2 linked regions of the Caenorhabditis elegans genome follow. The protein of the gene in region 2 purifies or fractionates together with the protein of the main gene of each other region. This does not show direct contact. Each region holds a gene or a part of one and is shown on either strand. Other genes may lie near its edges.

Region 1 (5,045 bases), on a different chromosome or scaffold from region 2:
CAAAATCGTTAGAAAATCGTAATCATTAAAATAATTGAAAAAAAAAGTATTTTTGTTTCAGAATAACAACCCGACTTACAAACGCAACTTATTGAGTCTCAAAAACCTGGTTCTGGTGAAATTCAATCAAGATCATATGGTTGTACCAAAGGATTCATCTGTGAGTGGTTTTTTTTGTTTTGCAGTTTCCGAAAGTAGACTATAGTCGCCTATAGGCGAGGGTCGCCAAAAGCTTGTTAATGCAGGCCGGAGTTTTCCCGAGTATTCTCATTCTAATGGGTACAAAGAGCCACACAGGCAACAGACATTTTGTACCACCTGTCACGGTTCTCACGCTGAAATATTTTATAAAGTCTCAATAATTTATTCCAGTGGTTCGGGTTCTACAAAGACGGTGATATTGACACAATTCTCCCAATGAACGAAACCGACCTGTACAAAGAGGATCGTATTGGATTGAAGAAGCTTCATGAGAGTGGACGAATCCATTTTATGGACGTGGATGGAGATCACTTGCAAATTCCAAGAAGTGTGCTTGTCAACGATATTATCAAAAAATATTTTATGTGAACTTGTTTGATTTTCAAAAAGAAACAACTCGTATTGTAAAACTCGTACGTAAAAATGAATTATGAAATTATCATGACTGGTTGTGTGAGCATTTTCTTGATTTGGGTTCCCATCATTTTCTAAAACATCTCGAAAAAATACGGCTCCGAGATTTCGGCATGAAAGATGTCAAAAAGCCAGAAGAGCTCCTTGATCTTTGATTTCTCACGAGAGATTCTCTAAAAATAGGGGGAAAATCAGAAAACTTAAAAAAAAATTTGGCAAACCTTCATGGATTTGACCAGTTTCATAAGAATCAGAAGCCGATGAGAATACATTTTGATATCCGTCCGATTTGTATAATAAACGTGCATTTGGTCAGCAATTTCTGCTCGCATTTGTTCGCAAGCTTCTCGTGTTTCATGAGAAAGATCACCTTCTAAAATTAAAGTTAATAAAAATTTGATTGATGTTTTTTTTTTTTACCTTCAAGTCCAATAAGGTGAACCATACAAAAAACGACTTCTTCCGTAGTTGGCTTGAGATCAAGAAGTGGCCTTGCAACTTCATCTATGTAACGGTGTAGGAAGGGTTCGAATAGTCTGAAAATTACAAAAATACAAATATAAAAATGTTCAAAGATTTTTCATCATTATATCTTTCTCGACATAGCGGCAAAAATTGTTTTGTTGAATTTTCAGTATTTCAATTAATTTTATAGTAAAGAAAATGCTGTATCAAAATGTGATCCTAAAACCAACGCAACTTTGAGTAGGCTTTTCAGAACATTGACAAATTTCAATCAGCGAATTGTGGGCATTTCAAAGTTTTTGAAACAGAAAACTCACTTGTTGAAATATTGATTCGTGAGATCAGTTATCGAGGCAAAGTCAATATGAGTTGATTCCAATTTCATTGCGAGATCATCATTGATAAGTATATACTGAAAAACAGTTGATATTTTTAAAAATAATTAAAAACTATTCTCACTCCTCCTCGAATGACTCCTTCTTCAAAAATCTTGACAGACATTTCTAGGCGCTCAAATGTTCTAACGACATTCCAAGAAGATCGGAAGAGCTGCATTTTTTGATCCATGGGTAGAGACATTAAAGATTTTGAAGAGGAAAACCAACAAGAGTACATATAGATTCGATCATTGAGCCAATCAATAGCAGATTTCAGCTCGACTTTGTCAAGAAAAGAGATTTGACTTTGAGCTTTTTGATTTTTCCTAAACTTTTTCAATGCAGACGTCAAAGTAGTCAGTTCACAATCGTCGCCTTTTGTTTTATGCTGAACATAAAATAACAAAATTTTCACTTTCAATGTTTTTCGCTTCAACTTACCGAAAATGACGTTTCAATTTTCTTCACCAAGTCATTAAAACTGATAACCATGTTCGGCTTATCCGGTGTTTTTGGCGAGAAGGTGAACAAAAAGTTCGGATCAATTCCAGGTGACTCCACCGAGTTCTTCCGGCTCAAGTTGGTCGGGCTGTAATCAGATTGAGCTGGGCTTCCATTTGGCGTAGAGAATTCGTCCTGAAATGTAGTAAATAAAATAATTGTTTTTAATTTAAAAAACAAAACTCACACTTCCACTATCCTCCATCAAACCGCGAAACGAGTACGTTGGGTCATAGTCCAATTGAACTTCTGAAAAATGAGTATATTTTACTAGAAAAAGAAGAGAAAAAAAGAAGAGAAAAATAATTGGACTCTGTAAAATTTGCAGAAAAAAACGCTTTTGGTTAAATTCCAAAAGAATGGCAGCAAAATTTTTGACAGTAATTGAAATTTTATTTGTGTTTTGGAAAGGATTTAGTTATTTCACCACTAGCAAAAATGAGTGGTGATTTTTAGCAATTTTCAAAATTCAACATTATGTAAAAAAAGGAAATAGGGCACTTTTGTATTTAATGCCCTCATTTTGAAATTATTTAAGCTATAAAAAAAACCTTTGGAATATTTTTGTAATTTTCGGACTTCGGAAAAAATCCTTTCTAAGCCTAAAGAGTAAAAATCAAACATAGAGATGATCTAGAAATTTTGTTAGGATTTTTTATTTTTCAGAAAAAATTATTTTTCTGCGTATTCCACAAAACCTATTCACATGAAGTTTTTGAAAATTTGTCAAACCAATTTTCGCAACAATTTTTCACAAAAACTTTTGATGTAAAATTTTTTGATGTGCACGATATGCACTTGAAAATCTTGCAAGTTTTTATTTTTTTGGAAAAAAAAACATACTCTCTTCATTCATCCCGATTGCTTTGCACTTTGTCAGACGACACTGCCGGCAGACATATCTATAAACAAAACGTGAATTTTCTGATTTTGAAGACTATAGTAACTCACCTTCCACGACCATCAATATTGCATTTTGAATTCCCCTGCTTACATTTATACTGTAATTTCAGTACAGTAGCCCTTCGAAAGAATGCGGCGCACGCTCGGCAGGTGAGTGCACCGAAATGCATTCCATTTGAAGCTTTTTTGCAAACCAAGCATGACTTGTCAGGTACCATTTTTAGATTCTGAGAAGGAAAAAAAGTGTGATCATCATTTTGTAATATGCAAATTGGGTGTTGTCATTCTAAGAGATCTCTACCAGATATGTTATTAGAGAAATGAAAAACGTAGAGAGGAGAGGAAAAGATCAAGTGACCACCGAAAAGGGTTTATATTTGAGAAAAAAAAAGAGGGAAACTTGAAGGAAAAATGAACGTACCTACATGTCAAATTTTGAGACTGAAAACCCAGCCTCAAATCACAAAGTTATCACAGCAATTTTTTGGTACTTTTCTTCACATGTAAGGCAAGATCAGAAGAGAGACATTTTCGGCTGGGGGAAGACGTCATGTCGGCATGTTCTCTGATCGTTACGCTGGTCGAAGACGTAGGAATCTCAGACAAACAATTAAAATCTCACCCCCTTCCGAAAAGAGATAGTCTAGTTGTAGTGGAAGGAAAAGCATAATGACAATTATCAGGATGAAGTGGTGAATTTGGCTAACCGTATTTTCAGAAAACTTTAGCTGGAGTTGTATGAAACGTTTTAAAAATGTGCCTAGGGATACTATAGATACTGAAAGTTCTTAAAATAGAAAACTCAGAAATTTCATATTCGATCTGATGATAAAAGATTTTGAATTTACTTTCCACTTGAAAAGACCACCTCAAAAATTTGTTTCAAAATGTTTTTATGTTCGATGAACCAAAAAGGAAAAAAGTCAGAAAAAAAAGATTTTCGGAATGTGAGAATTTTGGGTTTTCTTGAATTTTATAGGAAAACAATCCCCTTCTGATTACTGCTACATACATTGTACAATTTTTTTAAAAGTGCACACATTGGTACATGATTTGTGATAGAAAATTTTAAGTCAAAATTGTAACTTCGATGGAATTGCGGAAAATCAGAAACAAAAACATTTTAGAATTGCTAGATTGATAGTGACCGATTTAGAATTTTGGATAAAATACGTTGAGCTACTTTATATAGAGGCAACCGATCTTGTCCATCTAATTCGAAACATGTATGTCTTTTGTCGTTTCTATGTTCACATCTGTCTGCGTCTCTTCATAAATTGTCAATCTCTAGCTGTCAATTGCTACTCGGTCTACGAGCATCGATTCACACGCGACCTGTGTTCGCCGAATTGGACTTCCGCAAAACTTTCAAAAGACTAATGTCATCTGATTAGTCTGCGTCTCCGATAGACTGTCATCTGCAGGTAGCCGTCCACCATCCTTGCATCTTCATTGCCAGCCTCGAACCTTTGCCAAACGCTGCAAACTTTTGACAGATCCCGCCTCCCGACCCGCAAGATGATTCGTTAATGCGTTTGGGCCCGATGTCTTATCGTCGCCCTCTACAACACTTGACTCATGAAATAGGACATGGAGACCAGAAAAAGAGAAAAATATTGTGTCTGTTGACGGGGAAAGTTGTTCATTTTTAGGGCATATAACTGTATATATGTTTCAAAAGTTCCTGATCTAGACTGATTCAATTGGGAACAATCATTTTTCTATTCATTTAGATCAGTTGATAGACATCAGATATGTTTTCTCCGATTTTCTTACCCGATGAGTAATAAATTTGCCAAATATGTAGTTCGCATATTTTCCGAGATATCATGATATTTTGTCAATTTGCAAAAGTAGCATCAAAGTAACAACTAGTACAACAATGTTATTCATATAAATTCAATTCACCGCTTTATTAAGTATGCATGTCAAGGAAAACTATTCCCTCAAGTTAAAAAAAAATAAATACAAATAAGTTTAGTCCTATAGTACATAAACTGAAGACTAATTTCAAGTTAACAAGTCTACCATATTTTCCCTACTGGATTTGTACCCCAATTGCTTTACTTTGACGGCTCATATCTCGGTTGTACTAAAATTAATCACAAATATACTGTTAGTGAAATACAGAAGATTATTTAGCACGTATTTTGTCAGTTTACAGTTTTCTGACAAAAGCAAACG
Region 2 (3,374 bases):
ATATAGGGAAAACGAAAATGTTAGATTTTTTTCTAAATTTTATGTTAAATGTTAAGAGGAAAAAAATCTAGACGTCTAAATACTTAATGTTTTCTTTGGTTTCAATACTTACAGTAACACATGTATAATATGATCTATCTCGAATCACACAATTCTTGTTAGAATCTCTTAAAACTGCTCGAAATCCACGTTGAAAGCTGCGATCCGCGAGTTTGAAACCCCATTTTTGAATCATTCGAAATCTTTTCGCATGCCAAACATGTGTCGAGAGCCAGATACCTTTTGTACTGGTGCTTCTGCCAAATTTCTGGAAAAAAACGAGCAATTTAGTATTTAGTTAATTTGGGTTCTTACTGTTCGAGAATTTGCACTTTTTCGTCTCGCAAACCGACTTGGACACTTTTTAGCATGTTTTGAAATTAAATGTGCTGCTGCAAACTCTCTCATTGTTCTTGGAAATCGACGAATATCGTATGCCATCGCTCTTCTTCTCATGTGACGTGGCAATCTTTGAGCAGCAGTTCTTGGACCTTTTGTGACTTCACCAGACACAAGGGCGTCATTGTCAATAGCCTGAAAATTAAATTTGGAAGAATTGAAGATTATAGTTGTAAAAATTACCTTTAGTAGCTGTGCAATGGAATTTGTTCGAGCTTCCACGAACTTTTCGACTTCTATAAACATAGGTTTCTCAACCACCGGACGTGAGATGTCCATCTTGAATTTGAATTTACTTGTAGTTATAAAATTATAAAAAATAATTTGGAAAAATATACAAGGATCAAGTCAACCTTGAAGTATAAAGTTTTAAAAATAAAATTTAAAGAAACATTTCATTTTTGAATGTAAATATCGACAAACAATAAACAACAACGAACTAACTATTCCCAAAAAGTAAAAACAGATCAAACGTCTAAATTCAGAACATTCAAAAACTACACATTTGCCTCTTTTTCCTGTTCTAATCTTCTGATCTGTAGGGCTCTTCTCTCTTCAAATAGCATTGATTCTTCTTCTAATGGTTTATCCACAACTTCTTCCACTAAAACCTTCTTCAAATCAATCTCATCGGCGAATGTGTCGTTGAATATTTTGCGTCCTGTGACTGGATCGACAATGTTTCCGAATTTAAACACTACACGGTCAACAGCATGAGAGACGTTGGCCTTTGGGCGGGAAGAACCATCGATCTGCTTGATGAGCACTGTATCTCCGATGTTTCCAAGTGATGTTCTAAAATGTTTTCAATTTTGAAATGTAATTCTCACATTGATAAATTCAGTTCAGAGAAAATGCAGTAATTCTAAAACAGGTATTTTAAACAACTTATTTTTAAACTCACTTGTCGAGAGCCCAGAAGTCGAACGATCGGGCGAAATATTTCTTCAGATAGATGTTGAATTCGTTCATCTGACATCTTACCTAAAATAATACAATACACTTCGAAAAGTCTTCAAGAATTGAACCAACTTGAGCACATGGAATTCTATCAATTCCAATTTGAGTGATGTCGGTGATTTTACCCATCAAAATTTGCGTTCCAACGCGCGTTTTCCACACAGAGGTCTTCGGCATCTGAAACACAATAAATAATAGAAGAATTAAATCAAAATAATTATTTTTAAATACAAACTGAACCGAAAAAACTGAAAATTAAGAATAAAATTTAATTAAAATTGTTGCCAAGTGTGTGTGCATTCTGACGTGATGGTGTTTGCACAGTTTCGTGCAAGCATACAAGTGTGCTCTACTGAACAGCTAGAAATAATTGTTTGGAATAAATTCATGGAATTTCCAAACATTCTCGTAGCTTCTCATTATCGATTTTTATGGTCCTTCAGGCATAAAAAGGGTGTAATTAGAATTCCAGGTGGTCATATGCCTCTTATTCCGCTCTTATTATGCCGTCTTCCCTTTCCAATTTCCTAAATTTTGAATTTAATTCTGTTAAATTTTTCAGAAAATGGCCGCTAATATTCAACAGCAGTTTGGGGAGCAGCTTTTACGAGCAGCTCAAGTTGTCGAGGAACAGATCGACCAGGAGATGAATAAGTAATTTTGAAATGTAGAAACTGTTTGTCATGTGTGTTTTTAGACTTGAGAACCTAGAAGAAGACGATCTTGAGGTAATTCGTCGTCAACGGATGGAACAAATGAAGAAAGCTCAAAAAGACAGAATTGAGATGTTGTCTCATGGGCACGGAAAATACGAGGAAGTTGCTGACGAGAAGGAGTTCTTCGAAGCTACAAAGAAAAGCGATAAAGTTGTCTGTCTTTTCTACTTACCTGGAAACTTCCGATGCAAAATTGTGGATAAGCATTTCGAGATCTTGGCTAGAAAGCATGTTGGAACACGATTCATACATGTCAACGCCGAGAAGGTTCATTTCCTGACAACTCGTCTCAATATTCGTGTCATTCCAAGCATCGCTATCGTCGTGGTAAGTTTGAATGTGGTTCCTGCTATAGTATTTTTTTTTCTGAAGTTGTATAATTCAAATCTGACTAGTTTCATAGAGTTTTGTTGGCATCTGTACCAGATTATTTAGTTAAAAAAAAATAAATTTAGAAGCAACAAACCGTCGATTACATTCGTGGATTTGATGAATTGGGAGGAAAAGATGAGTTTACCACCGAGACCATGGAAAACCGATTGGCTCGATCTGAAGTATTGACTGTCGAGAAGAAGCATACAGCTCCTGCAAAAAAGAAAATCATTAGATCAGGAGTTGAGGAGTACGATAACGAAGAGGATTGGTAGATGCCATCTTAAGATGATTTTTTCTTGTTTTCATATTCTCATTTGCTGATAATTATGTGCATTTTGATCTCACATAATTTCCCATTTTTTCGCTTTCCTCCTCCCGTGTTTGCTGTTTTATCTACCTTTTTCACAATTTCGTAATCGCAAATAAAGAGCATATTATCCTTTGAAAAATGAAAAATAGCCGTTCGGTTAATATCCAGAATTATTTTTAATGTAAAATAAGTATTTTAGATATTAAGATAATGTATTTCCAGAAATGGGGGAGTCTCATGCTCCATCAAAACCAAAACTAGATGGAGAGTTGTGTCTTCGTCCGAGTAGTTCAGTGTTTTTGGGAGATCAACAGCTGTAGTAAGTTTAAATTTTTCGGCATTACACGGGCTTCCCAAACTTCGAAACTTTTCGAACACTTCGGTTTCAGTTTCACACAAGAGTATCTACGAACAAACTCGTTAAATCTCAAATATGTCGTTTACTTTACGGCTTGCCAATTCTCAGGTCCAATCGGTAATTTTTTCTTACTATTAAATTTTAAATACAAAACGTATCAAATTTTCAGCTGTCGCATATTCTCCTCGTCCAGCTTCCTGGTACATTTGGATCAGAA

Evidence for each region.
Region 1: the proteins of mrps-17 (region 2) and nhr-37 fractionate together in Caenorhabditis elegans (co-fractionation; one large-scale study listed by BioGRID). This does not show direct contact.

Annotation. Positions count from the first base shown.
Region 1 is NC_003283.11:6,620,302-6,625,346, reverse strand, and holds nhr-37 (Nuclear Hormone Receptor family), read right to left. Parts: upstream 3,154-5,045; 5' UTR 3,080-3,153; coding exon 2,910-3,079; intron 2,861-2,909; coding exon 2,802-2,860; intron 2,208-2,801; coding exon 2,146-2,207; intron 2,094-2,145; coding exon 1,899-2,093; exon of another isoform or gene 1,892-1,898; intron 1,846-1,891; coding exon 1,540-1,845; intron 1,493-1,539; coding exon 1,398-1,492; intron 1,152-1,397; coding exon 1,036-1,151; intron 989-1,035; coding exon 837-988; intron 789-836; coding exon 690-788; 3' UTR 571-689; downstream 1-570. Other genes in the region: ppt-1 (Palmitoyl-protein thioesterase 1), read left to right, coding at 62-160, 373-570.
Region 2 is NC_003281.10:6,430,218-6,433,591, forward strand, and holds mrps-17 (Small ribosomal subunit protein uS17m), read right to left. Parts: upstream 1,582-3,374; 5' UTR 1,576-1,581; coding exon 1,471-1,575; intron 1,423-1,470; coding exon 1,343-1,422; intron 1,234-1,342; coding exon 936-1,233; 3' UTR 825-935; downstream 1-824. Other genes in the region: Ribonucleases P/MRP protein subunit popl-1, read right to left, coding at 113-307, 355-573, 622-684; txdc-9 (Thioredoxin domain-containing protein 9), read left to right, coding at 1,964-2,052, 2,096-2,441, 2,570-2,761; vps-16 (Vacuolar protein sorting-associated protein 16 homolog), read left to right, coding at 3,024-3,118, 3,189-3,274, 3,327-3,374.